5 linked regions of the Xenopus tropicalis genome follow. The protein of the gene in region 1 purifies or fractionates together with the protein of each later gene. This does not show direct contact. Links are inferred from orthologs where the notes say so. Each region holds a gene or a part of one and is shown on either strand. Other genes may lie near its edges. The genes, in order: ptpn3, shkbp1, ywhae, kctd3 and vangl2.

Region 1 (6,853 bases):
CTTTGTGCAGACAAATTTTCCTTTGAATTAAAATTTTGTGAACCCAGTTTGAATACAGTTCCCCACAAGTCTTTGTAAAAATAAGAATTCAAAATACTGAATTGTTAAAAATTCATCATAGATAGACAGAATATGTCAAAAGGCTTCCACTATAAAAGAAAAACAGCTGTGTGTGCCTGCACTCGGTGCATTCATTGCTTCTGGGTGCAGGCACAATATGAAGTTTTTTTTTAAAGGAACAGTAACGCCAAAAATGAAAGTGTATTAAAGTATTTACCCTGCACAGGTAAAGTTGTGTATTTGCTAGAGTAGCAGTACTATAGCTAATATAAATAAGCTGCTGTGTAGCCATGGGGGCAGCCATTCAACCTTGAAAAAAGGAGAAAAGGCACAGGCTACATAGCACATAATTGTATATATTGGGATCTATTTTTTGAATTATCAGCTATGTCCTACATTGAAAAAAATACATCAAACAAGTCCAACCTTTTGTCCCCAAAATACCTACCTGCTAGATGATTGTTTGTATAGTGAACACAAGTGGCCATACTGTATGTGCTTGTTTTCATGGGTTCCCAGTTTTTAACAGCGGCCCTGCCTGCAAGGGACCTGCAGAGAGCTTTGATTGTCGCTACTTGTAGCAGAGATAAAAACGGTACTAATCACACTAGATTGCTCCACCGACAGATCTGTTCCTACTCTTAAGAATTTTTGCATGGTTGTATGTTTTAGTTGCAAACACCTGCCTAGAAATATCATAAGGAATGTAATTCTACTGTACAGCCAACTATGGCATTATAAAAGACTAACGTGTAACATTCTCTAACTGACATACAATACTGCAGGGAAGGTAACTAAAATCATAAACATGCTATATAGTTAATAATAAGGGTGGCTCACCTTTAAATTATCTTTTAGTATGTTATAGAAATGCCTATTCTAAGCAACTTGTCCATTGGTCTTCATTATTTATTTCTTATAGTTTTTAAAATACTTGCCTTTTTCTTCTAACTCTTTGCAGCTTTCAAATGGGAGTCACAGTCCCCAGCAGCCAAAAAACTATTACTTGGTGAGGCTACAGTTTAATTGTCAATGTTAATTGTTTTTAAATTTAGGTCCTCTCTTATTCATTTACCATCCTTTCATTCAAATTGCTCCCTGGCCGCTAAGGTAAATTGGATCCTAGCAACCAAAAAGCTGCTTAAACTACAAACTGCAGAGCTGCTGAACAAAAAGTAAAATAACTAAAAAAACTACAAATAAAAAAAATGAAGACCAACTGCAAATTGTCTCAGAATATTACTCTCTACGTCAGTGATCCCCAACCAGTGACTCGGGGGCAACATGTTGCTCCCCAACCCCTTGGATGTTGCTCTCAGTGCCCCCAAACCAGGTAGTTATTTATGAATTCCTGACTTGGAGGGCAAGTTTTGGTTGAATAAAAACAAGATTTCCTACCAAATAAAGCCCCTGTAAGCTGATAATAGCCAATCACAGCCCTTATTTGGCACCTCCATGAACTTTTATGATGCTTGTGTTGCTCTCCAAGTCTTTTTACATTTGACTGTGGATCACGAGTATGAAAGGTTGGGGACAATAATTAAACACATTATTCAGTGAGAAACACAACCATTTATTGACTCAGAATTTAAATACAAAATTCAAAAAACAAAACATACTATACCAAATGGAAGGTACATCCCATGCTACATGGCACCCTCTCTCCTTCCTAACCCTGCTCTACGTCATACTAAAAGTAACGATTTTTCACTGAAGTTTTGCGAAACAATTCTCCAATGGCGAAATGCAAAAATTCGCTGCAAATCCATGCCTGACGAGAAAATTCGCTCATCGCTATTCATGTGGTTTGTCCCACATTATTAGCAGTCAGATAAAAATAATGGCATGGCAAAACCATTACATTGATATAACTACAACTATACTATAACAAGATTTGTGAATAATCACATATTGTAGTATTTTAGTAGCAGAGAATCAAACAATTAAAGGTATAGCTAACACTGAATATCTACCATACGTTTAATTAGGGCATTTTCACAACTTCATCAGCTGGGATTAAAGAAAAAAGAGTAGAAAACAATACAAACTGTACATATAAGGTGAAATGGAACTGCAACTGAACATAATTCTAGCGAGTGACTGTCTGCTCTGATTAGGATACCCATGCTAATGCACTGTGCCTGTACATGTAACAGCAGCACATAACCTCATGCTCCTCACGGAATGGCAGAAGGTTTAGAGTGACACTCAGCTTAGAGCGCTAGAGATTCCACCAGAACACAGTCAGCAGCACGCTCGGGCAGAAGAATGAGCCTGGGGGAGTGCAATCTACATTCTGTTGATATATTTTCTTTTGGAGAGCAGCTCAAGAGGCTCAGGGGAGGATCCAGCTGATGTCACACACAGAGGAGGGCTGAGAAAAGGAAAGGAGAAGCCATCAAACAGACGAGCTTTTTCCCTAAATGGATTACACTAGATATTAGTACTGAGAAGGCTGCTGTTAGGCTAATCAATGATAATAAAATATACATAGACAGCCTGATAGGTGGAGCCCCGCACCGACAAGAGGAAGGGGGAAGGTGGAGAAAGAAAGGAGGAGGCTTGTGTGTTGGAGTGGGACAGCAGTGCAGAGGTCTGGCTTCCTGTAATAGAAAAGAAGAAAAAGGGAGATATACCACCACCTGCTTTTTTTGTCAGGATCCAGAGGACGATACAAAAACTGCCCTGGATTTGTCCTTTCGGCTGTGGCAGGAGTGTCGGGCTGTGCTGGGTTGGCCAGAGCGATTCGGGAGGAGGATCTGAATGGTGCAGGTAAATCACTGCAGTAGGAATAGACAAGGCGCTGGTGCTGCACGGAAGCAACAGACTGTGCCTCGGTCACAATTGCGCACTGTAGGTGTGAGTCAGCCTGTCATTTCCCCCACGGGCCATACTGAGGGGCTTGGCTCGTCGCCTACCTGCAGGCTGGTGCTAACACTGCGCACACGATTGCTTAAGATGTTTAGAGGAAAACAGTATGTATTATTAAGGAAAGCTGTGCATAGAATTATATCTGTAATTGTAATCACACCCAAATGCTAAAATGATATGTGAAAAGAACAACACACTGCTGTAAAAGTTTTTTCTCTCAAAGTGGTACCGTACTCTGTTTCTGTTTGGCAAATTACATGCCTCAGATTTTAGTACGTTTCAGACAAAGTCATATTGTGTTCTGGTGGCAGTATGTGTGTATATATGTTCTGTGGTATAGACTTAGCAGTTGGGCCATATTATGCGCAGTAGTAGGGAAGTGACAGGTATGGGAAGGCCCTGCCAAGCCTCTCCTCTCCTGAGCCAACATAACTTGCTCAGCAATCTGACTTTGGTAGTTTCACCACTGACTTTATAGGGATTGTTGAGACAACAAGGATTGCTCAGTGAACAAGACAACTGTAGCCAAGGTTTGAAGAAGATGCATTTTTCTTACTTGAATTAAATTTCATACATTATTATTGTTTCCATACACCATATTTCAGTCACTTAATCAAAATACACTTTCATATTCAATAAGTACACTTTGTTATATTTAAAGTCATGTAAGTCCTGTTATGTCCCTTACACTCATGTGCCCCCCTTACTGGCCTTAGCCCTTTAATTAAAAGACCTGGTTAGGTTTGGGAATGTAACATAGTATTAGTGGCTTGCTTGGCTTTATTTTACATTTATTTAAAAGTGTTGTTATGAACATCAATATTTATCTTAGTGTAGGGATGTTACTTCCTTTTTATAAATTCTCATAGTATATATTTTGTTTAATCATGATATATAGCATATGCTGTATTGTATCTTGAAAGATCCATGTAAGAAGGGTTTTTGGTGTGAGAGAGATTGTAATTGTCTCTCTTGTCAAAAAGTTTTTCCTTTACAGGCATTGACAATTTAATCCAGTCACTTTGTTCCCAATGACAGTTTCTGTAGAGCCAATTAGTACAGAGTGTACTATATTGAGCCTTTATTTTTTCATTTAGAATTGATATAACTTTAAGATGCTCACTGATGTGTAAGTGAGAAATAAATATCAAGCAACAGTGGTGGCACAGCACTGGGTCAGAAAAAATGGCATTTGTCTGTGATGGATTAAGTGCACGTCAGTTGCATGTGTAGGCACAACATGCAGACAGTGAGCCCTGGAAGTTACTCCTTTTCAAGGCAAGTTTGTTGTGTGGTTTGCACTTTGCACCTCATGCAGAAGTGTAGAAGCAACCATCCTGTTTGCACATGTAGATGTTGAAGGGGTGTGTTGTTGCAAGTCCTTTTGTATTTGAATGTGTGCAACTTTATGCTTATTAAACCCTAGATCTGCGTAACAGATCTTGCCAAACTGGTGGATGTGATCTACTTTGACTTTGCTAAAGCATTTGACACAGTAAACCACAATAACAATCAATATGGTTTCTGTAGACTGCTAAAAAATAATTGCTGATTGGGTTTCTACTGACAGTTGAAATTTAGCACCTGCTTTTATAATTCATTGTGCTGGAGTTATTATAAAAAATTAAAATGGGCCATTTTTCAGAAGGTTGTGAATAGAAGTTTAAATGGCAATTCATAGATGTTCCTTTTCATTGCAGAATTAGACCTAGACCTAAACTGTAAGCAATGTATCACAATACATCTACATTTATACATCTTAACCCAGAAATTCAGTAAATTAGCACTGAGGCTCTCAAACTTGTACAGGAATTAGACCTGTTATCCAGAATGCTCGGGACCTGTGGTTTTCCGGATAAGGGATCTTTCTGTAATTTGGATCTCCATAACTTAAGTCTGCTAAAAATCATTTAAACATTGAATAAACCCAATAGGCTTGTTTTGCATCCAGTAAGGATTAATTATATCTCAGTTTGGATCAAGTACAAGGTACTGTTTTATAATTACAGAATTACAGAATAATTACAGAATTATTTTCTTATAATGGAGTCTATGGGAGATGGCCTTTCCATAATTCGGAACTTTCTGGATAATGGGTTTTCAGATAAGGGATCCCATACCTGTAGTATGTTACACTTTTAGTACAATCTTATGTCTTGTGGATATTAGTTGCAACCTAAAATAGGTAAAATCTGTTGAAAATAGCCATTAATAAAGGTTCATGCTGCAGAGTAGGAATCATTCTATTGCTTGAATTTGTTTATCAAATATAAAGATACTAATTAAATTAAAATCTGTGAAGTGAAATATAAGCAACTACAGCAGGCCTGACAATAAAGAGAACCAATTAAATACATTTGATTCAAAACATTTTCTTTCTTTTTTTTTTTTTTATTAAGGTGTTAACATCAGCAATATAGAGATAGAAAAGGGGACGAAAAGAGGGAAATATACAAGGCTTATACGAGCCTGGCACATTCATTAAAGGAGAAGGAAAGGCTAGTAAAGAGTTAATCTCAAACTGCAGGCATACCTTCAGTTGTCTCAATAGTGCCCTTAAGTCTCCCCATATTTCACCTGTTCAGAAGATCTGAAGCCAAACATGAAGAAAAAACGCTGAGCTGTGTAAAGAAAGTTCCCATAATCCTCGCTCCTGCACAGACACCGAGACCAAACTGAACATGCTCAGTTAGTAAGCCTATGAGTCAACTTCCTGCTGATTGGCTCAGATCCACATTCCTAAGGGGGGGGAGTGAGTTCTTAGCATTCTTGAGGGAGGGGGGAGCAGGAAAGAGCAGAGAACAGAAAGCTGCGTGTCTGTGGCACAGGAATTACAGATACAACTAATCTTTTTTTCAGAGAAGTCAGTGCAGCGTTTCTGTGAGTGCTTATGGCTGTATTTACATAGACCTTTCTGATAAAGCTTACTTAGTTTTTGCCTTTCTTTCTCCTTTAAGATTGTACTCTTAACCAGGGCTGGATTTACAAATTTGCCGCCCCGAGGCCGCCCCTGGACACACGCCCCCCCCCCGAGTGCGCATGCGTGCGTGACAGTGCGGGGGGTCTGCGAGCGCGCATGCGCGAATAGCAGGGGGGGGGGTCACAAGCGCGCGTGCGCCATAGGCCAAACTTGCATATGGAGCAGTGGGAGAAGTCCGCATTGCTCCGTATGGGAACACAAATTTTTAGATCTTTGGGTGGCGGGGCGGCATGCCGCCACCAGGTTTCTGCTGTCCTAGGCCCGGGCCTTTGTGGCCTCCCCACAAATCCGGGCCTGCTCTTAACCATGGGTCCCACATCACATTGAACTTATCTGGACAGCCTCTGGACATATATAGCAATTTTTGTTTAGGTAGCACATTGCTAATTAGTTTCTACTAGAAGGTGAGGGGCTACAGTAGACTTTCATTTTAGTACTTAAAATAATAATTGTAAGTAGCACAAATGTTGGTATGATGATAACCCCAAGTCCTCTATCACCCCCAGCAAACAGGAAGTCTCAGACTTTGGATCATTCTCAGTCCTCCATATAGATATTTAAAAGTGGATACTACCTGGAGTTGCTCAGGATGCAATTGTGGACCACTGGGAAAGGGGATCTTTTGGAAAAATAACTGATTTATTTCTGTTAACTTGGAAGCCCGAAAATGATCCAAAGACTGACACTTCCTGCAAAAGTTCTGTCAGGGCCACGGTGGAGCAAGATAGATAAATTAGAATATCATCTGCATAAAAAGACATTTTCCTCTATGAGATGTAGTCTCAGCCTGTCAAGCCAGGCGAGTCTGACGAGATTGCCACCCACAAGCATCTCACACTAGGCTGGAGGCTTAACCTGAGAGTGAGACAGGAAGCACAGCAGTGGAGAGAGGCTGGAAGGCCAAATAGCGAAGTACCGAGGAGAAAACGAAGGTGTAGTTAA
Region 2 (6,093 bases), on another chromosome or scaffold:
TTTTGTTTTCACTTTTTCTTGTGTGAATAAATAATTTGGCTGCTATGTTTGATATAAGATGAGGCATAAGAAAGCCCTGGAAATAACACTGGCCTTTACGAGGTGCTAGTTTTAAGGCTCTGTTTCTTTGTGGTTCATTCTTCTTAATCTACTTAATTGCATCCTCATACTGTTTTTAATGCTGTATGCATGAATTTTTGCACCTTAAGCTTTGCAGTTGCTTTAGTAAATGAGCCTTCTGTTCATCAGCTTTCTGTGTGTTCTGTAAAATACGTAAACATTTTCAGTCACCTTCTGCAGTAAGGGGTTTAAAGAATTGGAAACTAAAATTCATTCTAGTTTTCCATGACAGTAATTCTCATTTAGCAGCTACATTTTAAATAGGAGATGTAACACTTTCTAGAAATTTGGAATTTTTACAAGTGAACATTGTTTAACTGAACATTTTCATCTTCTAGTGTTACTAGGCCCCTTATGTTGACGTTCACTATTTTTTTGATTTTGAGTTGACAATTGCCAACATGTTAAGCTATGCAATTATGAGAGGATTATTTGCACAAGTTTAAATTATTTGAATAAATGTTTTCTCACTGGTAGAAGCAGGGATAACCCTGATGTATTTTATGGGTATTAGGTAACCAAATGATAGCCATTTGTATCGGATGATATTGTCTGAAACTCCTGACTGCTGTTCTGGCTAATTACTGGCAAACCACAGATTCCTAGAGATCTGGTCGTATGTTTAACTGGTATCAAGTCATTCACTGCTCCTTTGGATTGCGTTTACAGAGCGAAAATTGTTTCAACGTGTATAACGTGTTTTATATAGTATGTGCAGATAATAACCATGTACGGACATGGACTGTGACTCGATTTCGTGGTATGATCTCAACCCAGCCTGGTTCAACTCCTCTGGCTTCATTTAAAATCCTTTCCCTGGAAGACGTTGATGGGCATGCTGGATCCAGTGCAGGAAATGACATTGGTAAGCTTCATTTTTGGGAGAAAAGATTGTTGTTGTTTTTTTTTTTTTTTTTTTTTTTTGCTTACAAGTGCATATTCGAGCTGGACTAAGGTTTACAGTACAGATCTGTACTGGGGCCACTTCTGGAGAATGATCAAAGGCTTGAGGTATTGACCGCTGCCATTCAGTGGGGGAAATAAAGCCACCAGTCAAAAGGCACCTGTCACATCTAATGTTCTATGTGCAGCTTGTCTGTAGAAGATGGAGCATCTTGAAGTGGAGATTCCGTCTTTTCTTATGCTTCAGGCATGACACTTAATATTAGAAGTGACAGTAGCACAGAAGTGTGTGACTGCTGCAGTTTGTTGCTGGATGGCAGCAGTTGTCAAAAATAACCAATGTGGTATAGGCCTAGTGCTTGCAAGCTTTGTTTTCTCAAGTGACTACCCTTTAATGTTTCCAAAGCTTATAGCACAATTCTCTTGGCTTTCTCTTTCTGGATTATGCCAGATTTTTTTTTTCCCATAAGGTCCTTTTGGAGAACGTGATGATCAGCAAGTTTTTATCCAGCGTGTGGTCCCTGATTCTAATATTGTCTATGTCCGCTTGTCTTCAACCGGGAAAAGGTAATTGTTTTTGTTAGGTGTCCTAAGATTTTAAAGGTTAAAAAAAACAAATTATTTTAAATCTCTCTCAATACTAAGAACAATATGGCATAATTTTCTGTGTCCAGAGCATTCTCCGTCCGTGTGTTTGGCTTTGTTGCGGCCATTTTTTTTTTTCTGTCTGGTCATTTTATTTTGATGCATATGTAGCGCTAATACATCATTAGGCTGTCCCCTTTCATATAGTGTGTCATAGGCATCAGAACCAGGGGGGCCATGGTCCCTAATATTTTGCCCCCAAAACTCTTGTGGCAGTGGTGCTGCTAATTATAGTCGCATAAATAAAGGCCCATCTTCCCAGGTTCCCTATTGATTGTGATGTAATGGAGATGTCGCTGATATTCAATACTAATGAGCTTGTTTGTCAGTTATCGAGCTTTTGAATTTGACATTGTTTTTCTAAATCAAAGAACTCTCATATCGAACGATCGCTTACTTATTAAGGAAAACTTATTCAGATAAACTCGAATTTTCCAATACCAGACATCTGGCTTTTCAAACCATAACTCAAATTTGAGGGTTTTTTTAAGCACAAAAAAACTTGAATCGAGGAAAAAAAAAAAAAAACTAGACTGCTGATAAATCACCCCCTTACTGTACGCCTGGCAGTAAGTCCAACACCAATCCATATGTCAAGTCCTTATGCAGTCTTTCTTGCTGTAAGCATGCAATCCACCATACACCACTGAAAATGATTCTCGCCCTTTTGAATACAAGCTAAAAAAACTAACCTTGGCTATCGTAAAAACAATGTAATAAAATAAGGATATAAGAATTCTGCATACTGGTTACAGGTCAGAATAAAATCATGTTACTGGAGTTCTTGAGCAGTCTGTTGGGAAGGTCAAATACATTATCTATGGTGGAGCTAACTGTCTTTCAGAATTTTAAAATCAAGATTATTAGTCTTCAGATTATGTCCCTTTCAATTATCTATCAGTCGGTTAGACAAAGAAAGCACACACACCATATTTTTCACCAATCTGTCAATTGAGATTCAACTCCTGCATGAAGGGGGAGATTGAGAGGAGCATATTATAAAGTATAATAGCATGATTTCAGAAATGTAGAACTTTTTAAAATATTTTCAAGAAATGAAGCTCTCGTTAAATTTTTTTCGCTTTAGGTCCCCATTAAAGGAAAATATTATTTATCTTATTGCCTGATTGTGTTTGGTTTAGAATCTGTGAGATCCGTTCTGTAGACTGCACCCCTATCACATCTTTTACCGTACATGAATGTGAGGGCTCAAGCCGCATTGGCTCCCGTCCACGACGGTACCTCTTTACTGGTCATGCCAGTGGATGTATCCAGATGTGGGATCTTACCACTGCAATGGAAGTAGCAAGCAAAGGGGAAAGCAGAGGTAAAAATTAAAATCCTGTTTTTTTAGGAAGGGGTAGGCAATTATTTGAGCTTTTTGTACCCCTCCAAGGTACTTGTTTTAATCATGCTTTTGCCTGTCCAACAGAACTTGGTGGCCTTACAGAAAAAGAGCTGCTGGAGCAGTTGGAACAGTGTGACTTGGCTTTGACCCGCACGCCTGAATTGAGCCCTGCTGCATCTTTCTCCCATTCAGCCAACCCTCGTGCCTCCATAACCAGGTATTTCCACTGCCACACACTTTCTAATAGAGTAGTGCATTTTCTGTGATCATGCTTCGTTAAAGCAGCTTGGTCAGTCAAGCTGTTCAGAGTTTGATTTGTTCCACATACTCTGCAGGATCTTTTTAACGTAAAGCCCATAACCAGCATTTTTCATATTTCCGGTAAAGCATTCACCATATCTGTTTTGGCAAAGGCTGTTGCAGACAAGCGGGGCTATTTGAAAGTAAATTATTTTACAAAGAAATTTAAACTTTGTTACTTTTGTGTTTTTAAAAGTGCATATGCACACCATGTATATGTTAGACTGTTCCTGGTTAGCTTAATGGCAAGTATATTTTCCACTTTCTGCAGAGACAAGTTTTCCAGTTGTCTGTTTGTGAAGCACTGTGGTTTAATGACATATTTAATATCCATTAACTTCCCAATACCTTCCTTCTGCAGCCTTCAGTCCCAGCCGAGTGAGAGATTCTCCAGGACTGCTTTTCCTTCCTCTCGACCTCCAGTTCTTAATGGACGACCCTCAGAAGGATGGGCTTCTTTGTGTAGTCTCCAGCCTAACCTTTCTGGTAGCTTTGGCTCTCTCCAGAAGTCTGACACTTTGCCCCGCTCTGGCTCCAGGCCTTGCAGAGCACTGCGTAACCAACCACAAATGGAGGTTAATGGAATGGCTTCCACAGATTCTACTTCAGCTCGTGCCAGTGGCAGCTTTGTGGAGCGCTGCCAAGAGCTTGCACGTTACACAGAGTCCCAATATCTGGGTTCACAAAGGTCAAGTTATGAGACTGTAGCCACCAGAATAAAAACCCCTCGGGGTTCTACTTCAGCAAGGCGACCAGGCTCTCCTACACCTCCACAACCTCCTCCACTTGGTATTGCCACTTCTTTAGCTCCATGTTTACCTCCTACTTGTTTCTCTGCTGTGGGGGAGGCATCTGCCTCTTCTCCAACTGCTCCTAAGCTTACACTCAAACCTAGGTTAAATGAGACCTCCTTTTAAAATAGTCTTCTGTGAGTTGCATTGCTAAACAATTGGCAGCTATTTTGATAGAAATCCTTACACCATTAGTATTTATAATTGTGTAGATTTGGCAGTATTTTTAGTACTGGATTTATAAAACCATGCAATTACTGCTCTAAATATACACAACTGTATTTTATTTGTATTAATAAATCTCTGATTCATACAGATATAGTCAGTATAAACGATCAGTTGTTGCCCTTGGTAATGTCTCTACAGTTGTGTAGTCATTAAGAGCACATGGTTTGAATAGTATTATTCCTTCCCACGTTTAACTAGAAACTACAAGGTGCAAAGTGACATGAAAGCTGCTAAAGAACAGAAAAAGCAAGGGGGAAAATGCAACAGAAAGCACCCTCTTTGTGTCTTGCTCCAGTCTGAGGCTCAGCAATTTGTACTTCTAGAATGGAGCACAAAAACGTGTGCCTTACACTGCATTGCTGTATGCTGCCTACATTCAATGTGCTGCATACAAAAAGGGCAACAAATGTATATCATATCTCATGGGTAACATGAATAAAGGACTACCCAGCTCCTTATGCCCCCCTTAATTGTCTGTCTGATGTGCAAACTAGGTGACTGGCTTGCATATCACACACACAAGTCGGGGGACATGAGGAGCAGGTTAGCCCTGTATGTAACCTTTATTTATAGTGGGACTTATATATAGGGCTGCCTTGAACCAGGCATCACTTTGCTACGCACTGCTTTGCAACCAAATACTTGGTTAAGAACTGAGGATGCACATTGGTTTCATTATCATTTTTCTTTTGAAGGAAATTTTGTTTTCTGTAATCTGGAGATAACTGTGGTCTACCCTGGTCACAATGCTTAGGGTTTAACAGCAGTAACGTGGCCTTATCTGCTACATATATTTTTTTTCATGTAAATTGGGATGACTACATGTCTCTGAATAAAGCTTTTACAGCTGTACTAAAGTCAAATTCTACATCTTTGTAAACTTTGTGTTAAATTTTTTTAAACAATGTGAAACAGGACTGATAGGTTTACATAATCTTTCCATGTTAGGTCTCTAGAGTTTGTTCTGGCAAATTCAAGCTTCACCACTACTACCATCACCACCACCATAGTCTTCAAACTCCATCTTTTTAGCAACATCTCACTCTTAATCTTCTTTCTTTTTGGTGGCTTCCACTTGATGGCTGTTGTGAATCTGGGATAACACGCCTGCCATGCGGGGATCACATTTCCTGCAACAGCATTTTCTTGTGGTCTCCTACTCTTCCCCTTAACCACTTTTTAACCACTGTTCTGCACTTTTTTGGCTTCCACAATGGTCTAGCTCCTCAGTAAATGCAGCAAGGCCTTCTTTTCATAAACCAGGAGGAGATTGTCTCTATAGATCCTGAAGCTCTGAAATCTTGGTGTCCCTCTGCTTACAGAGCTCAACCATTCTTATATTTTGGTCAGGTACCACAAAGGCATGTTGAGTAGCTATAGGCCCAGTTGTATTGGCTTTGGTTTCTTCTGTCAATTCCCCTGAGTTTGTTTCCACTGGGTTTAGAATCCTATCCTTCTTAAACCAGCATCTGAATAATAAGATCAGAGGTGGTGGTTTTTTTTCCTGTTCATTTAGCATAGGTTCCAGTACTAACTTATAGAGGAATCACAGACTATATAAGAAGTACCACATCAATAGCACTGTGAGGTTTCTGGTCAACATGACTGAGCAAAAACTGCCAGATGCTGAAGCTGCTGAACTTCTTCAAGCTGCAGACACCTCTCGCATGTAATTCTACAGTGACCACATTGGGTGCTTGAGGAAATATATAACAGTCATTGACATCTTTCAGGATTTTTTTTTTTAACTTCCATACT
Region 3 (6,775 bases), on another chromosome or scaffold:
ACAGCAGTAGTAGTGGGGGCGCAACCAAATGATTGCTCTGCGAGGAATGGAGGGCTTTGAAGGTTAGGGAATTCTGGCAGCAGTATTTAATATAGACTGTAGGGGGGAAAGATGGGAGTTAGGGAGGCCGATTAGTAGCAGGTTACAATAGTCAAGTCGGGATTGGATGAGAGCATGCATGAGCAGCCTAGCTGTTGCAGTAGAGAGAAAGGGACGGATTTTGGCAATACTGCGTAGGAAAAAGTGACATGTTTTAAAAGTGGTGTTAATGTGGTCAAAAAAGGAGAGACTGGAGTCAAAGATCACCCCCAAACAACGCGACGAATCAACGGGGTTGATGAGGGTGCCATCAATAGAGATAGAAATATGTAAACTTATCTCTTGCATTTGTATCCCTGTACACTGTAACATGCTATATGGAAGGCAATGGCACTATAAAATTAATAAATATAAATGCTGCGCTTCTTTGCACTGTTTTTAGCACATTAATATCCTTCATAAGGACTGGGGCGCAAAAATGCATTTCATACTTAAAGGAATACTGTCATGGGAAAACATGTTTTTTCCAAAACACATCAGTTAATAGAACTTCTCCAGCAGAATCCTGCATTGAAATCCATTTTTCAAATACACAGACCCTATTTCCTATATTTATTATTAAAAGGTCATTTTAATATATATTTTATTTTAAAATTTCACATGGGTCTAGCCATGTCCTTCATTTCCCAGGGTGACTTGTGCTCTGATAAACTTCAGTCACTCTAAAGCTGGAGTGATGTCACCCCCCCTTCCCCCCAGCAGCCAATCAGCAAAAAAATGGGAAGGTAGCGAGACAGCAGCTCCCTGACACCTGTATTGCTAAAAGTGGTAGATGTCAGAATAGCACTTAATAGTAAAAAATCCAAGTCCAGTTTAGGACTCCTCCAGTTACAGGAAAGAGAGAATAGATTATCTGAAAGCAGTGAGAATTTGTAGCACAACTCCTTCTGAAAGATAGCTTCAAGAATAAAAATTTAAATGCTAGAGGGAATGATTTGCTATGTAAACGGTGTAATTTAGAAATAAAAAGTACCCCGTAAAAGTCATGACAGTATCCCTTTAACGGAAGGCCTTACCAGGGATCTATACAGAGTTAATGTCCGTTTTCATGCAAGACTAGTCCCGAGAGATACAGCCTAGAGCTGCACAGTGTAAGGCTGGCCATATACTAAATGATCTGCTTGTTTTGGTGAAGCTGCAAAACAAGAGGATCTCACCTGTATCAGCCCACCTTGAGCTGGTCAATATCACACTGATTCAATTTGATCCAAAGACAGTATGCATTCTGTTAGGAGGAGGACCATGCTAACAAGCTGATTTGGTTCTTGTCCCAATGGGATTTTTTTAACTTACCTGATCAGCAGCTGGCCAATTTTCAGCCAGATAACATTGAATTTGCAGTTAATGTTCACTGGGTGCTTTGCCAGTTCCAGAACCTGCCTGTTAGCAACACGATTAGACAAAAGTTAAGCATGCTCCCTAAAATGACTGCTGTGGGGCCGTCACCCCTAGTTAAGTCACTAAGTAACGCACTTTAATGCACCAGTTGCTGTAACAGTCTGTCACTGGTACCATTTTGTCACCAGTAATGGGGACACAAAGACAGACAACTAATCTCCCTGAAATGCCTTCCCACTGGCATCAGTGACTTGTTGGTGGGAAAGCATACACAGCTCATCCCTTTCTAAAACCAGCAAATGAATCTGTGTGTAACCCCTGCCCTTACATCCCCTCTCACCCATCCCTGTGTTATAGTAACAGCCATGGAGATCAATGGAAATCGGCTGCTATCCTGCTGTTCCTTGCATAACCCTATCATTAGAAGGGAGTGCATTCCTACAGAGGGAAATGTAATTAGATTGGCATCACAGACGAGTTTAAGTGTGATTTAAATTTAAAAAAAAAAGGGGGAATAATAGAAAACTGCGCCCCAGTCACAGCGCAGCGCAGCCCGACCAACTTTAGCGCTCCCGCCCCGCCTACTTACGCAGCCTTGGGAACTACTAGAACAGAAGGATCTCTGACATTACCTGGAAGCTATATAGTATAAAGCCCGTCTTTTCTATTTCACTACCTCCCCCTCCATCACAATAATCAATGAGACAATCGTCCCATACCTCCCGGACTCCCTTATAAGGTCAGCATGAGGTAAAAACCCCGCCCTTTCATGCCTGACGCAAAGCCGTTGGGCCCCGCCCATTTGTGCCGCGCCTGCTGCTGTTGCTAGGGAGCCGTTGCCATAGAGTTGAGCGATTGTCCGCGTGCGCAGGCGGAAGTGCCCGGATTGAGGCTGCCATCTTTCCCGGGCAGAGCTAGAGAGACAGAGAGGTTGAGTCACTGGGAGACGGAGACAGACAATCGGCTTCCATCCGCCCAGTAGATCGCCTTTAATCCCCGCTAGCTACCGCCATGGAAGAGCGAGAGGATCTAGTGTACCGAGCCAAGCTGGCAGAGCAAGCCGAGAGATATGACGGTAAGAAGAATCGCTAAATTCCCCCCCTTAGGTCGACGGGCGGAGAGAATGGAGGCGAGACAAAATGGCGGAGGGTCTAGCAAAGGGAGGGGAGGACAAAGGAGACCCTCATAGTACAATAGGGACTGCTTTTCTGGGATGACAGTTGCTTAGACCTGGCTGCCATTTAGTGTTAGAGGAGCTCCCTGGGGCTGGCTGCTGGCGGCCAAGCGGGAGGGGGCTGTGGTAGGAAGGGAGGCTGCTTATAAAATGGCGACTGCCGAATAGGGCGAGACTATGGGGGGCGGAGGGCGATTTATGGTGTAACTGACCCTTCAGCCTTTTAGGAGGAATAACAGAGGCTTAGACTGGGGGGCAGCTCCCCTATTGATACACTACACATCCCAGCATGCACTGCTAACCGGGCTGCACGGAGTGCATGGGAGCTGTGGGACCGCAGAGGGGATGTAGGGATATATGTGCCGGGGATAGGGCAGTGTGCTTATGGGCGGATCACTGGGGAAGATGGCGGCTGGGGCCGGTAAAACGTCTGCAGTGGTGCAATTTCCTGGATATGTGGGAAAAGCCGCTTGTCTGGCAGCGGAACAGGGGGTTAAGGCATCGCCATGGAAATGGCACTTGGGTGGGATGGCCCTCAGGCTGCGGGCGGCATTTGTGGGCTGAAAGGCTCATTGTCCCAGTCAAGCTGGAATCATGGACAATGTGCAGGTTTCGTGTCTGGCCAGTAATGAGTTCTCTTGGGTTACACACACTGGTCACATAAGGGGGGTCTCCATTATTCCTCAAAGCCCTGCAACCTTCAGCTCTGAACTACAACTCCCAGCATTCCACTGGCTTCACAAGCTGGAAGAGGCACAGGGGTTTGATAGCGTTCCGATGGGATGGAAATCTAGCTCCACTGAGCTTAAAGCTGCATCCAAACGGTGTTTGAATTTTTAAATATATTTTTTCCCAGAATTCCAGCATCTGTCAGCCAAAGCAGTCAGGGTGTAGTAGCTTGCTGGGTGCATCCTTTCATTGTACATTGGTGCAGTGTTATTGTGCAGACCTCCTATCTTTGTTATTCCACTGACAGCAATCTGGGTGGGGGGAGAAGGAAGGGTTATGGTGATGCTGCAAGCCCTTTTACTGTACAAAAAATCTTCCCATGATAGGTCTAGCTCAGATTTTTTTTCATTATTATAAAGGCTGTCTGAGATAACAGCCTATTTTCTATACGTTTTTTTAATTTTCATATGTGATATTTGCCAGGTTAATTCACACTGTCCCAGAAGTGGATTCTATAGTTGGCTGTTTCCTTAGCCAGCCTTGCCTCAGTGAAGCAGTAGGACGCGCCTTGCTGCGCACCTCCGCCCTGGGCCTGGCCTGTGTGCTGTTTCATGCGTCCAGGCTCATTCATTCCTGTCAGACCAGTCCCTCGTCGTGCAGAGGGATTTGTAGATCTGCATCTGGGTGCGTGTCTGTGAAGAGTTGGCAGGTGTGGGCGTGCCCTGTCTGACAGAATGGCCTTAGTCCTGACTGTTCTACAGGATAACAGGCATCCATGGAAAATTGATATATTTTTATTATTATTTAGATCTGGTTTATTTAATTTCCTCCAGCCGCCCTTATTTTTCTTTTACACCCCTAATTAGAACAGATACATTTTCTGTTAAATTTCTCCCACTTAAATTTTAGATATGGAGGAATAATTTATTTATTAAATGCACTGTGATGTTACTTTATACATATTTTAGATAACTCCCCAAGAAACCACATGAGAGGCATTGAAATCCTTATTAATGGAGTGGGGGTACCAGTCACCCACCTCCTTGCATTTATGGAATGCTTGTTTATGTGGTTACCTTTGTCTCACTTGTTTACTATATTTGGAATCCTGGGAATGCTGTAGTGTTCTAGAACAGAGTGTCTGGAACCTGACCTGAGGCAAGAGAATGTCCACTTATCCACATATGTTCATTATTATGTGAATAGCAAAATGTGGTAGGTCCTCATGCTGGAATGCTTGGATATTCACAGAAATGTCATTGTTAGGGAGGCATTAGAACAGGTTTTGAGAACCTTTTTATTCAAGAGATTTAATTTTCAGAACTGTGTGACTGAAACATGCACATCAGATGTGTCTCTAAGATATCTATACCATCCTACAGCTGCCCAAAGACTCCATTTGTATGAGTTATATTTCCACTGAGCTTCTGTATAGCGGATAATACCCCCCCCCCCCCCATATACACACAAAGTTGCTGATTTTTAAAGTGCTGTCTACATAAGTAGTTCTAAAGTCCTGAAGAGTGTTGGGTACCCAGGGTTATCTGCGAAATTTTTTTTGGGGGGGTTTAATGGGGTTTCTGGGGTGTCATTTTTTTTTTTTATTCCTTTACAGTTATTCATTCAATTTTTAAACTTCCTTTTTACTATTTCACTTCTTGCATTATGGTATCCCTCCTGGTAGTCTTTAGATTGTGGGCCAGAACAGGTAAAAAATGTGAGCTGGGTGGGGGTCTACCCAGTTAAACTCACATCGGTCTCTACACAGTTGTATATTTTTAAGAATACACTAACAGTACACATAGGGAACAAAAGTTCAGTACAAATATTTGTTAAAATCTATTCAGTAAAATGGTAAAGGGGCTGTATACTCTTGTTTAACATGAGTTTAATTACTAGGCCTTGTGCCAAACATACTGTTTGCCTATAGTTTTAAGTACAAAAAAATGTATTTACTTCTTGAGCTGGACTGGGAAATTAAAAGCTACTCCATATTTGGTCCTTTCCAGGTAGCAAATGATATTACCAGAGCTCAGATAATTCCCCTTCATACTGCACTTGGTTGGCTTGTATACTGATCTAATTAGCTCTGTTGCAAAAATCAACCATGGTGTAGAACCATTGATTTTTTGATAATAAAAACAGCCAAAAAGTATGTTCAGCACAAGCCCTATTCATTGAATTTATGTTAAACACTGTTTACTGTTCCTTTAAGATACAGTAATAAGCAGTGCTGTCCAACTTCTCATGCAGTGAGTAGATTTGACATTCCACATGAGCATCATATTATCTTAAAATAATGTCATACAAAGAAGTCTATATAGCTCCTTAGTGGACAGGGGGGCTATAAAATTCCATTGGAGGGCCACATCTGTCCTGTGGGCCTCCCATTGGACAGCATTGCTGTAAAACATTCTGGGCATTTGCTTCAAATTCAATTCTGCCACAACCTCACTGACCTTATGAATGTGTGGCGCACGCAGGGTATAAGAATAAAATCCCACTGGTAAAATTTAATCAGCTGTAGTTTTTTATTTTCTTTTCAAGTGTTAGGACCTAATAGACACTGAAACATGCTCTTCTTGCATCCAAACCAGGTGGCTTCAGATATAACTAAGCTAAACTAGTCTCTGGCTTCAAGACGTCCTGTAGATCTCACACAAAAGTTTAAAGCATGCTACAAGCAGGCCATTTTTTGGCCTTGTGGTATGCATGTTTCCTTGGTTTAGCTATACACATGGATGTCTCAGTTGTGCTGGTGTAAATAGTCATCCTATCTGCCAGAGTCTGGGCCTTTGCAGATTCTAGGGTTACCAGGTGATCACCAAGGCACTTTAAAAAGTTGGTCATCAGTCAAGTTTTCTCTGTTGCATATTCAACTGACCCTCCGGGGAGCTGTTAGAGGTACGCTTACTGACACATCAGAGGTGTAACATTTAGTATTTCCTCCTGAGGTGATAAATTTTTTACTTTTTAAATTATAATATAGTTATGGTGTCTTATTCGAAATGAGGGACCTGGGGTTTTTCAAAGATGAATCTAAAAATGTAAACATAAAATGCTTTTACTTACTTTAGGATTTTGAATAATTTAGCATAATATAGATTTAAAAGTTGGCCATGGGAATAAACCTCTCCCTCTCTGAGGGCACATAGGGCATAAGGTTTGCTTCTCTCTGCCTGCATTTTGTACACAGTAGATAGAAATTAAAGTCGCCAGTGGAAAGGCCTACTCATTGCTTCAGCTTTGTGAAGTCATGTAAGTTTACTCCTGCAAGCAACTTTGCGGGACTTCGGAAAGCTGAAGCGATCCATAGGCCTTTCCACCACGACTCCTATTGTTGAGATCTATTGTGGGCGACTAAAGGTTGCCATACATGGGCAGATATTAGCTGCCAATTTTAGTCCTTTAGGGCCGTGACACACAGGGAGATTAGTCACGCTGCCACAAATCTCCGCTGTCCCTACAATGCCATCCCACCGACTAGAATGTAAA
Region 4 (6,093 bases), on another chromosome or scaffold:
GCATAGTGATTCCCTGTACTAAGCACAATTCAGCAGGAACAGCCCCCTAAGTTTGCTCATAGCCTGTACAGAGAGATACCATAAAACTATAGCACCATAGGGATTCCCCTGTACTAAGCACAATTCAGCAGGAACAGCCCCCTAAATTTCCTCAGCCTGTACAGAGAGATACCATAAAACTGTGGCACATAGGGATTCCCTTGTACTAAGCACAATTCAGCAGGAACAGCCCCTAAGTTTGCTCATAGCCTGTACAGAGAGATACCATAAAACTATGGCACCATAGGGATTCCCCTGTACTAAGCTCCCTAATCTGTAGAGAGATACCATAAAACTAAGTAAACATAGGTATATGTACAAAGCAGGAATATTTCAGTGTAAAGCAGCCAGTTTCAAGGGGTAATTTTATTACAGATATGCAGAAATTTCCACTGCGTATGAAAGACAATGATCTCCTGGTGACTGAACTGTACCATGATCCCTCTAACGATGCCATCACTGCCCTGAGCGTCTACCTGACTCCTAAAACAAGTGAGTATCTGTATCGGAATTCTGATACACAGCTGGATTTGAATAAAAGTGCTTATAAATAGCATATACACATACACATATACACACATACACACATACACACACATACACACATACACACATAAACACACATACACACATAAACACACATACACACATAAACACACATACACACATAAACACACATACACACATAAACACACATACACACATATACACGTACACACATATACACACATACACACACACATACACACATATACACGTACACACATATACACACATACACACACACACACATATACACGTACACACATATACACACATACACACACACACACACATACACACATATACACACACACATACACACACACACATACACACACATATACACACATACACATATACACGTACACACATACACACACACATACACACACACATACACACACACACACACACACACACACATACACACACATACACACACATACACACACATATACACACATACACACATATACACGTACACACATATACACAAATACACATATATACATATACACATATATACATATACACATATATACATATACACATTTAACTTCTGGTTATATGGGGCTCACCTATATCCGCAAGTGCAGTGAGCAAAGTGCAGTTTCGAGCGCAATCGGCATGTGTTTTTTCCCAGAATTCTTGCATCATTGGGGTATCAAAGGGGCAATTCTCCTGACACAATTGCGCTGCTCCTACTTTCCTTCCATTATGTAGAAACCTCCAAGAAAACCTTACTTTTTTTTCTTAATGTCTTTCCATTGGTTCCCATCATAAATATCAAGATAAACACAATAATGACGTAATGGTTACATGTCTGCTGTGGGTTTCAGGTGTGAGCGGAAACTGGATCGAGATCGCCTACGGTACAAGTTCTGGCGCTGTGCGAGTGATAGTGCAGCACCCCGAGACGGTTGGCTCTGGCCCCCAGCTCTTCCAGACTTTCACTGTTCATCGGAGTTCTGTCACAAAGATCATGTTGTCTGAGAAACACCTTGTTTCAGGTACTAGATATGTAGATACTTTATTTGTATGTTTATTGTATGTGCTATGAGACCGGTGCGGGTCTGGTTGGGCATACCTGTGCCTCAGTTGGACCTGCACCCATCACCCTGCTATGCCTCCTACCCAGACCAGTTACGCAACCCTACTAGTAATGGGTAAACTTACCTTCCATGCTGGTCACCAAAAGTGACGTCACCGTGCACGGTGATATCACTCCGGTTAAGGAGGAAAAAAAATAGCATTATTGTTGGGGTGGGAGGGAACGCTTCTGCACCCAAGCAAGGTACCCACAGACTGCCTACATGGTCTGGTAATTGGGGACCTTCTACCCAAAACCCAACTGCTTTGCAGGTATTCTGCGGGTACCCAACCCGATGTACAGTATGTACCTATATCATGCTGCAAAACTAAACAAAATTCTATTTACACAGAGAAAGTGTCTTTGCTGAGTATTCATGTTACTCCACTGGGTCACATCCCGGCGGCACACTGGTCCCATCCTTGTTGGGCCCATTCATCAGTTGTATTGTAGGGTTCCTATAGAGCAGGGGTCCCCAACCTTTCTTACTCTTGAACCACAGTCAAATGTAAAAGGACTTGGAGAGCAACACAAGCACCATAAAAGTTCATGGAGGTGCCAAATAAGGGCTGTGATTGGCTATTAGGGGCCTCTATGCACCCTATCAGCTTACAGGGGCTTTATTTGGTAGGAAATCTTGTTTTTATTCAACCAAAACTTGCCCCCAAGTCAGGAATTCAAAAATAACTCCCTGGTTTGGGGGCACTGGGAGCAACATCCAAGGAGTTGGGGAGCAACATGTTGCCCCTGAGCCACTGGTTGGGGATCACTATAGAGCATATGTGCAGCCAATGGAGGGTCACACAAAAGAACAATGATGGCAACATTGTTACCAAACTGTCATCTCCTTCATATGCAAAACAGCAGGAATTCTTCAGGGAAAAAAAAGTCCTATTTTGCTTTGGATTTTTCCATGTTCTTCAATATGACTGTGTGGAATAAACTCTTGTTTTAATGTATTTAATAGTCTGCGCTGATAACAATCACGTCCGGACGTGGACAGTGACGCGATTCCGAGGGATGATTTCCACCCAGCCCGGCTCCACTCCTCTTGCCTCTTTCAAGATCTTGTCTTTAGAAGAAGCAGAAAGCCATGGGAGCTACTCTTCAGGCAATGACATAGGTATAGCTTGTATAACAATATGCAGTATGCAGGGCTTGGGAGGCTCTCTATATACAGGGAGTTGTCAGTACCACAAAAGGTTGTTTGTTGGTATCTACTTCCTTTTAAATCAAGGGGCAGGATCATTGTCCTATGGGAAAATACTTGTATTCCAGCTTAGTCAGGAACATACGGGTGAAATAGACCTTCCAGCAAGTCCTTCCTGCAGCCTATTGGAAGACTAGGGGAAGACTTATGGTATAAATAGAGAAAAATGTATGCAACATAACACTGATATTTGGGTAACAATAAAAATCCCATAAACTTAGATCTAGTAACCCAATAGTACCAATCAGATATTGGATTTCAAAGAAGGGGTAATGAAATATATGGCCATAAAGGAGAACTAAGCCCTAAAAAGAATATGGGAAAAAATGCCGTATTTTATATACAAACTTACAGCACCAGCCTAAAGTTTCAGCATCTCAATAGCAGCAATGATTCAGGTCTTTACCGTTGTCACAGGGGCTCCCCCCATCTTGGAAAGTGTCAGTGGCACTGCACATGCTCAGTGGGCAGCTGTTTGGAAGCTGAGCTTAGGGGTCGTTACAAGTTATCAAGCAGAAAATGAGGTTGGCCTGTTATATAAGCTGATGCTACAGGGGTGATTCTGGTGCTAATTACACTGGTTTCAAAGCTGCCATGTAATGTGAACCTAAATAAACTACTAATCAGCCTTTATATAGCAACATGTATATTCTATATATACAGTATATTGTGAGTGGGCCCCTAAGCTCAGGTTATATTGTACCATTTATATTGTATATATACAGTATATAGTGAGTGGGCCCCTAAGCTCAGGTTATACTGTGACATTTATATTCTGTATATACAGTATAGTGTGAGTGGGCCCCTAAGCTCAGGTTATACTGTGCCATTTATATTCTATATATACAGTATAGTGTGAGTGGGTCCCTAAGCTCAGGTTATACTGTGCCATTTATATTCTGTATATACAGTATAGTGTGAGTGGGTCCCTAAGCTCAGGTTATATTGTGCCATTTATATTCTGTATATACAGTATAGTGTGAGTGGGCCCCTAAGCTCAGGTTATACTGTGACATTTATATTCTGTATATACAGTATAGTGTGAGTGGGCCCCTAAGCTCAGGTTATACTGTGCCATTTATATTCTGTATATACAGTATATTGTGAGTGGGCCCCTAAGCTCAGGTTATATTGTGCCATTTATATTCTGTATATATACAGTATAGTGTGCCATTTATATTGTATATATACAGTATAGTGTGAGTGGGCCCCTAAGCTCAGGTTATACTGTGACATTTATATTCTGTATATACAGTATAGTGTGAGTGGGCCCCTAAGCTCAGGTTATACTGTGCCATTTATATTCTGTATATACAGTATATTGTGAGTGGGCCCCTAAGCTCAGGTTATACTGTGACATTTATATTCTGTATATACAGTATAGTGTGAGTGGGTCCCTAAGCTCAGGTTATACTGTGCCATTTATATTCTGTATATACAGTATATTGTGAGTGGGCCCCTAAGCTCAGGTTATACTGTGCCATTTATATTCTGTATATACAGTATAGTGTGAGTGGGTCCCTAAGCTCAGGTTATACTGTGACATTTATATTCTGTATATACAGTATAGTGTGAGTGGGTCCCTAAGCTCAGGTTATATTGTGCCATTTATATTCTGTATATACAGTATAGTGTGAGTGGGTCCCTAAGCTCAGGTTATATTGTGCCATTTATATTCTGTATATACAGTATATTGTGAGTGGGTCCCTAAGCTCAGGTTATACTGTGCCATTTATATTCTGTATATACAGTATAGTGTGAGTGGGCCCCTAAGCTCAGGTTATACTGTGCCATTTATATTCTGTATATACAGTATATTGTGAGTGGGTCCCTAAGCTCAGGTTATACTGTGCCATTTATATTCTGTATATACAGTATAGTGTGAGTGGGTCCCTAAGCTCAGGTTATACTGTGCCATTTATATTCTGTATATACAGTATATTGTGAGTGGGTCCCTAAGCTCAGGTTATATTGTGCCATTTATATTCTGTATATACAATATAGTGTGTGTGGGCCCCTAAGCTCACGTAAGTGACAGCAGCACAGAACATGTGCTGGGATTTAACAGAAAAGAAGATGGGGGGCTACTGGGACATCTACAGAGGCACAGATCTGTCCGCTAAAGGGCTGGGGTTGCTTTGGGCTGGTACAGAACCCCAAAACATAATGTACAATATTTATAGCCTACTTCTTTAGTTAAGCTCTAGTTCTCCTTTAAGTTTGCTTGTATAGTAACCCACAGAAACTAACCAGATCTTGGGTTTCAAACAGCTGACTAGTAAATGCTACCTGGTTGGTTGCTATGGGTTACTAGACATGTATAAGGCCATTTATTTCATTATCCCTTTAATGTGGTCATTCTTTAGGGAAAGGTGCAGTGCTTGTATATGTACAGAATAAAACACAACGCATAGAATAATTGGGGCTGATTTCAGTTGGGTTTCCATACATTGTTATTGGAAGACTAATGAGAGCTGCTATGGACCTCTCTGTATAATACTGTAGAACTATCCTATTAAGTATGAATATGAAGATTTATCATTTATCATTTATCCAGGCCATGGTATATCCAATATAAATAAATCTAAAGCAACTGGATGTCTTCAATGATTACTTAACAAGTCCGGTTGCTTTAGATTTATTTATATTGGATATCCTATTTAGTAAGTGCTGTAGGTCTCCATACTGTAACTCTAACCCCCCTTCCCTGTTCTTTCCCAGGGCCTTTTGGAGAAAGGGACGATCAGCAAGTATTCATCCAAAAAGTGGTGCCCATAACAAACAAATTATTTGTAAGACTCTCTTCTACTGGGAGAAGGTAAATCATATGTTTATTTTGATTCCAGTTTTGGAACGTTTGTATATTAATTTTTAATTCTCAGGCTCAACTGAAAACCATGGGTGCACTTTGATGCTAAAGATTGAGCAAACTGTTTCCTATAGGGATGCAACAAATCCAGGATTCCGTTCCGTATTCGACCAGTTTCAGCAGGATTCGGATTCGGTTGAATCCACGCTCCTGGCTAAATCAAATCCTTAGCATTAAAATCATGTGGCTTTTTGTCATCTAAACCTGGAAGTTGAATTTTTTTTTGCCACGTGCTAAGCACACAGTTCTCTTTAACCCTTCCATATAAAGCCAGTATTTGGCTGAATCTTTTACAAAGGATTTGGGGGTTCGGCCAATCCGAAAATAGTGGGTACGGTGCAT
Region 5 (6,575 bases), on another chromosome or scaffold:
GAACGCTTGGGTTTATTTAGCCGTATACCGTTCCACTACTAAAGTCTTCCTCAGACACAGTGTCAGGGGGAGAGATATATGTGTTACTGATGAGTATCGCAAGGGGAAAATGCCAAGAAAGGGAATTGACGGAGCAGGAAATGCATGTTTATGGGAGATCTGGCCAACCTTGAAATTGTCAGGGAGGTCTGGCGTGGAGAGGCTCCTATCTGCTGTCAGCATCTCCCGCAGTTCAGATGAATGGGCAATGACAGGTTGCTGAATAGAAGTGAACTGTTGCATAGCACGAGGGGGAAGCTATTTAATCTGCACTCCCCACTTCCTGTTTGGTTCTGGTCGGAAAGGTCCAAGCTAGGAACTGAGGGACACGCTTCCCCGATTCCAGTCAAGAGGATAAAGCACTACAGCTCCTGTAGAACTACAACTCCCTGCCCTTCCCCAAGTTTTACCAGAACTGGGTCTTAAAGATGCCAACTACAGAGTACTTCCTGGTGTCAGCAGCTATCGGGTTGCTAGGGTCCAAACTGCCTTAGCAACCAAGAAATGGTTGGTAGCCACGCTGTGCTGGGTCACATCAAAGATTTTCTACTCCTGAGGGCATCCAGGCACCTAGCAGTCCGTCATCGGGTCTTAACGTCGGCACGTCCCCCGAGGCACATCTATCAGCCATGGGATAAAGTGCAATGGAGAGATGGAGCATCGGGATAAGAAGCAGACACACAGAGCCGTGTTTATTCTGTAAGTGCTCCCTCTTCAAACAAGAGGTCTCTATGTGCCGTTTCCACCATGGAATCCTTTAGCAAAGACCTTTAGTTGAACCTTTACCCCCTGTGGCTCTAAAATACCCCCCCCCCCCCCCGCTGCTACTATACCAGGGCAAAGAAACCCACTGCTCCTGTGCCATATACCCCTCCCTGGGGTTAAGTACAAAAGATGCCCATGTAGAACCCCCAGGGAGAGGACCACATCACCCTGGGGAGACCCCCAGGGAGAGACCACATCACCCTGGGGAGAGGCCCATGTAGAACCACCAGGGAGGAGGACCACATCTCCCCGAGGAGAGGCCCATGTAGAACCCCCAGGGAGAGGCCCATGTAGAACCCCCAGGAAGGAAGGCCCACATCAGCCCAGGGAGAGGCCCATGTAGAACCACTAGAGAGAGGACCACATCACACCAGGGAGAGGCCCATGTAGAACCACCAGGGAGAGGACCACATCGCCCCAGGGAGATGCCCATGTAGAACCACCAAGGAGAGGACCACATCACCCTGGGGAGAGGCCCATGTAGAACCACCAGGGAGGAGGACCACATCTCCCCGAGGAGAGGCCCATGTAGAACCCCCAGGGAGAGGCCCATGTAGAACCCCCAGGAAGGAAGGCCCACATCAGCCCAGGGAGAGGCCCATGTAGAACCACTAGAGAGAGGACCACATCACACCAGGGAGAGGCCCATGTAGAACCACCAGGGAGAGGACCACATCGCCCCAGGGAGATGCCCATGTAGAACCACCAAGGAGAGGACCACATCACCCTGGGGAAAGGCCCACGTAGAACCACCAGGGAGAGGACCACATCACCCCGGGGAGAGGCCCATGTAGAACCACCAGGGAGAGGGTCACAACACCAGCCTAATTTTCAAAGATATCTTGCCATATATTGGTCAGAAAGGCCCCATGCAGTGGCCAATGCAAGCTTTAAATGCCTACATTTACGCCTGACCCACCATCCGCACCAGCCTGGGGTAATTCATGTGCCAAATACCCACCACTACCGAAAACCATCACCAGAGCTGCACATCCTGGCTATAACTACAGCCAAACCAGCGCCAAGATTTCTGGACTATGAACCCAATACCCTATGCTATAACTTGTTTTTATTCTCCCCACCTGTTACCCCCCAACCCTACTTTTTTGGCAGGTACCATCTGAATGAACCCCCCAGGCACCTAAATCATCTTCCCAGCCCTTTCACTAACGCTCCTTCTCATGGGGTGGGAATGTCACTTTTTTTTTTCTTTTATAAGGACCAACACTATCACCCTTTCTCCTTTGTAATTCTGTCCCATTCAGTGGGAAACAGCCACCCCCGCCGTGCCCTGATAGATCTACCCACCCCCCCTTCACAGATACTTGACCCTGACACTCAATTACTGGGCTCGGAATGCATTTCAAATTCATTAATTTTAGGTCACACACAAACATTTAATGCACACGCATGTAAATCGTATATACTGACAGATTATACACACACTAAAGGGGAAATAAACCCAAAAATACATTCACAGTCTTTAACTGTATTTTTTTGTTGTTCGCAGCTTTGTGGTTAATTATTAATGAGGCTCTGCTTTACTACACCGTGGTGTTATCATCGCTCCTTTATGGCATGAATGTAGAACAATAAACACCTATTTGTGTTCTGTAGGAGAGTAAACAGGCCGGCCCAGACGGCCCTTCCCGAGAGGCTAGCAACGGGGGAAACAATTGAGTGCAGAACGGCCGGTGTGGATTGGGTGTGAAGTGTAACGTTGGCAGTTCCTCCCCAAACCAACCCGCCCCAGGCAACTGACTTATGACCCAGGCTGATCCGTCAGGAGAGTCCCTGGCTTGGTGGGGCCTTGCAGGGATTTCAGTGGAATTCAAGGCCTTGGGAAGGGAAATGCGGCTGCTGCGAGTGCTCTGTGCCAGGCTTAGTAAGGCTCAGGCAGTGCTGAAAGGATCACTGACACCCCCAGCTTCCCATGGGAATGCCGCAGCTATGGATCTAACCAGGGGAATGGGAATCAAAGGCAAAATGAAGGATCAGGCTTACTTAATGGGAGATACTCCAGATGCTGCTGAAGGAGGGGTGCTGGGAGTTGCATCTTAAAAAGATCTGGAGGGCCTCAACTAGCCCATGCTTGATCTGATGAATGCAGGAGAATCAGGGCGGTCGGATCTAGATCCAACAGGAGGGCTGCTGTGCGGGGCAATAGGGCAAGGTCCATAGGGAAGGCTATGGTCAGCAGTAATAGGGATGAGAGGCAAGGCCGTGGCTCCCAGATCTAATGGGGGGGGGGGGGGGGGCTGGGGTGCAGGGCATTAGGGCAAGATCTAAAGGGAAGGATAGGGATCAGGAGTAATAGGGATGAGAGACAAGGGGGATCTAATAGGGGGGCTGGGGTGCAGAGCAATAGGGCTAGATCTAAAGGGAAGGCTTCAGCAGGGATCAGCAGTGATAGGGATGAGAGGCAAGGCCATGGGTCCCAGATCTAATGGGGGGGCTGTTGTGTAGGGCAATAGGGCTAGATCTAAAGGGAAGGCTATGGATCAGCAGTAATAGGGATAAGAGGCAAGGCCGTGGCTCCCAGATCTAATGGGGGGGGGGGCTGTTGTGTAGGGCAATAGGGCAAGATCTAAAGGGAAAGATGGGTGGCTCCCAGATCTAATGGGGGGGGGTACAAATGGGAGGTCTAGGGATCAGGATAATTGGATCCAGGCTGAAAGAAGGGATGAGGTGCAGGGCCATAGGGCCCCAATCTAATGGGAGGGCAAAGGCTTAGGGTAATTAGATCCAGGCTGAAAGAAGGGATGAGGTGCAGGGCCGCGAGGGCAGGATTTAATAGGATGGCCAAGTTTTAGGGTAATTGGACCATGAGGGGTATATATACAGGAAGGGCTGGAGTGCAAATGGGAGGTCTAAGGGTCAGAGTAATTGGATCCAGACTTAAAGCAAGGGATGAGGTGCAGGGCCACAGGGCCCAGAGCTACTGGGAGGGCAAAGGCTCAGGGTAATGGGATTTAGGCTGAAAAGAGGGATGAGGTGCAGGGCCATGGAACCCCACATCTAGCTGCTACCCAGAGCCAATGGGAGGCCAGGCATCAGGGTAACCGGACCCATAATAGTCAGTGGCACCCAGCTCTAACCAGAGGGCTTGGGTGCAGGGCTAGGGAATATGGGTACAGGGGCCCAAATGCCAAGCAGGCCAGTGAAACCCACAGTAACATAGGGAAAGGCATGTACCTGGGAAGCCAATGTAGGATAGAATGATAGATAGAATGATAGCAGGCAGTTGCAGGCAGCAGCAGGCAGTTTGAGGGCACAGCAAGGAGACTGTACCACTCTCACCCACCCATGGGGGGCACAATGTACCCGGCACAATCCACCCCGGGGGAGAGGTACTTACCAGGGCAGCAGGCAGGCTCCCGGCGGGCATGGGATCCCAGGCACTGGGGGAAGGGAGACGGACGGAGGCTGTTTGAGAAAAGGAGGCGGAGGGAGAAAGGGGGAGCGCCAGTCCTTTTGTAGGAGCCTCGCTGCGCCGGTATTGCGCCGGTATTGCGCTAAATCCACAGGGCGACACTCGGGGTGCGGGGAGAGGGGTCACAGGCGGCCGAACGGGGAGCGGGCGGGATCCCCCGGAGATCCACAACGCACAATCCTTAGGCTGTGAGAGAGAGAGCAGCGCTGTGCCTCCGCCCCCAAGCTCCATACACTTCTACGGCTGCAGCCCGGCAAGCCCCGCCCTCCCGGCAAGCCCCACCCACCGCTCTCCTCCCCCCTCCCTGCCCATTGTCTCACTTCCCCGGATCCCCTTTCTGTGGGGGGGGGGGGGGGCAAACCCAGCGCAGCTTGGGGCTTTAGCACTGATCTTATTTGGGATTTCTTTCCCCTCTCACCTTCTGCTGCTGCCTAATCGCTCCCTAAGGGCTGTTTAGCAAGTCATTATCAGAGGCCAACTAGCTGCCTGGTATATACTGGGGTGGGTGTCACAGAAGGGTTAATGTTAGGCTATCTGCCTATAGACTGAGCCTAACAATTCTACTGCTTAGTGATGTCATAGCCTTAACAATGCTGCTTAGTGATGTCATCCCTTAGAATGGAAGCTTAGTGATGTCACTGCTCACATGGCTCCCTGGTGTGTCTGTATCATTATATATAGTGAATAAAGTACCCCCTATTGTAACATATAGGGATATTATAAGGCACAGAAGGGTTCTATGGCCATATAAAGGTTATTTGTGGCTCTTGTATATTATATAGTGAATAAAGTACCCCCTATTGTAACATATAGGGATATTATAAGGCACAGAGGAGTTCCATGGCCATATAAAGGGTATTTGTGGCTCTTGTATATTATATAGTGAATAAAGTACCCCCTATTGTAACATATAGGGATATTATAAGGCACAGAGGGGTTCCATGGCCATATAAAGGGTATTTGTGGCTCCTGTATATTATATAGTGAATAAAGTGCCCCCTATTGTAACATATAGGGATATTATAAGTCACAGAGGGGTTCCATGGCCATATAAAGGGTATTTGTGGCTCCTGTATATTATATAGTGAATAAAGTACCCCCTATTGTAACATATAGGGATATTATAAGTCATAGAGAAGTCCCATGACCATAAAGGTCATGGAAATCATAGGTCACTTCTAATATCCTCATATTTTACAACAGGGGTACTTTATTTATTATAATATACAAGTTTAAGTGAGTCATGTGACAGAAATGACATCACCAAGCTCAGATTATAACTGATGACATTACTACTCACCATTTATAAGGATATCATTTATGGTTTGGTCCCATAGGGAAATTACTGTATATTATATATGTATATATGTACCTTTATATGGTCATGGGACTGGGGAAAAAACCCAGACCGATCCGGGGCACGCAGGTTGTCCTCTCTCGATGTGCCTAAGTATATGCGCTCGGGGGTTGGGTGGGCGGCGGGGGCCACATGGGGGTCTCTTGGGGGGGTTTAATTGGGCCCTGCAACCCCTCAGTCTGACCCTGATGGAACCCCTCTGTGACTTATAATATCCCTATATTTTACAATAAGGGGTACTTTATTCACTATATAATATACAAGAGCCACAAATACCCTTTATATGGCCATGGAACCCCTCTGTGACTTATAATATCCATATATGTTACAATAAGGGGTACTTTATTCACTATATAATATACAGGAGCCACAAATAACCTTTATCTGGCCATGGAACCCCTCTGTGAATTATAATATCCCTATATGTTACAATAGGGAGTACTTTATTCACTATATAATATACAGGAGCCACAAATAACCTTTATATGGCCATGGAACCCCTCTGTGACTTATAATATCCCTATATGTTACAATAGGGGGTACTTTATTCACTATATAATATACAAGAGCCACAGATACCCTTTATATGGCCATGGAACCCCTCTGTGACTTATAATATCCCTATATGTTACAATAGGGGGTACTTTATTCACTATATAATATACAGGAGCCACAAATACCCTTTATATGGCCATGGAACCCCTCTGTGAATTATAATATCCCTATATGTTACAATAGGGGCTACTTTATTCACTATATAATATACAGGAGCCACAAATAACCTTTATATGGCCATGGAACCCCTCTGTGCCTTATAATATCCCTATATGTTACAATAGGGGGTACTTTATTCACTATATAATATACAGGAGCCACAAATAACCTTTATATGGCCATGGAACCCCTCTGTGAATTATAATATCCCTATATGTTACAATAGGGGGTACTTTATTCACTATATAATATACAAGAGCCACAAAT

What was found.
Region 2: the proteins of ptpn3 (region 1) and shkbp1 purify together in Homo sapiens (affinity purification with mass spectrometry; 4 studies listed by BioGRID and IntAct, with this or other methods). This does not show direct contact. The link is inferred for Xenopus tropicalis from reciprocal best matches to the Homo sapiens genes PTPN3 and SHKBP1.
Region 3: the proteins of ptpn3 (region 1) and ywhae purify together in Homo sapiens (affinity purification with mass spectrometry; 5 studies listed by BioGRID and IntAct, with this or other methods). This does not show direct contact. The link is inferred for Xenopus tropicalis from reciprocal best matches to the Homo sapiens genes PTPN3 and YWHAE.
Region 4: the proteins of ptpn3 (region 1) and kctd3 purify together in Homo sapiens (affinity purification with mass spectrometry; 4 studies listed by BioGRID and IntAct, with this or other methods). This does not show direct contact. The link is inferred for Xenopus tropicalis from reciprocal best matches to the Homo sapiens genes PTPN3 and KCTD3.
Region 5: the proteins of ptpn3 (region 1) and vangl2 purify together in Homo sapiens (affinity purification with mass spectrometry; 3 studies listed by BioGRID and IntAct, with this or other methods). This does not show direct contact. The link is inferred for Xenopus tropicalis from reciprocal best matches to the Homo sapiens genes PTPN3 and VANGL2.

Annotation. Positions count from the first base shown.
Region 1 is NC_030682.2:75,075,043-75,081,895, forward strand, and holds the start of ptpn3 (tyrosine-protein phosphatase non-receptor type 3), read left to right. Parts: upstream 1-2,655; 5' UTR 2,656-2,832; intron 2,833-6,853.
Region 2 is NC_030684.2:78,029,009-78,035,101, reverse strand, and holds part of shkbp1 (SH3KBP1-binding protein 1), read left to right. Parts: intron 1-829; coding exon 830-985; intron 986-1,493; coding exon 1,494-1,590; intron 1,591-2,810; coding exon 2,811-2,995; intron 2,996-3,100; coding exon 3,101-3,233; intron 3,234-3,677; coding exon 3,678-4,233; 3' UTR 4,234-6,093.
Region 3 is NC_030678.2:46,065,408-46,072,182, reverse strand, and holds the start of ywhae (14-3-3 protein epsilon), read left to right. Parts: upstream 1-2,278; 5' UTR 2,279-2,448; coding exon 2,449-2,512; intron 2,513-6,775. UniProt on the Homo sapiens protein: Adapter protein implicated in the regulation of a large spectrum of both general and specialized signaling pathways. Binds to a large number of partners, usually by recognition of a phosphoserine or phosphothreonine motif.
Region 4 is NC_030681.2:13,191,140-13,197,232, reverse strand, and holds part of kctd3 (BTB/POZ domain-containing protein KCTD3), read left to right. Parts: intron 1-414; coding exon 415-531; intron 532-1,421; coding exon 1,422-1,592; intron 1,593-2,639; coding exon 2,640-2,795; intron 2,796-5,603; coding exon 5,604-5,700; intron 5,701-6,093. UniProt on the Homo sapiens protein: Accessory subunit of potassium/sodium hyperpolarization-activated cyclic nucleotide-gated channel 3 (HCN3) up-regulating its cell-surface expression and current density without affecting its voltage dependence and kinetics.
Region 5 is NC_030684.2:137,171,851-137,178,425, forward strand, and holds the start of vangl2 (vang-like protein 2), read right to left. Parts: upstream 4,405-6,575; 5' UTR 4,163-4,404; intron 1-4,162. UniProt on the Homo sapiens protein: Involved in the control of early morphogenesis and patterning of both axial midline structures and the development of neural plate. Plays a role in the regulation of planar cell polarity, particularly in the orientation of stereociliary bundles in the cochlea.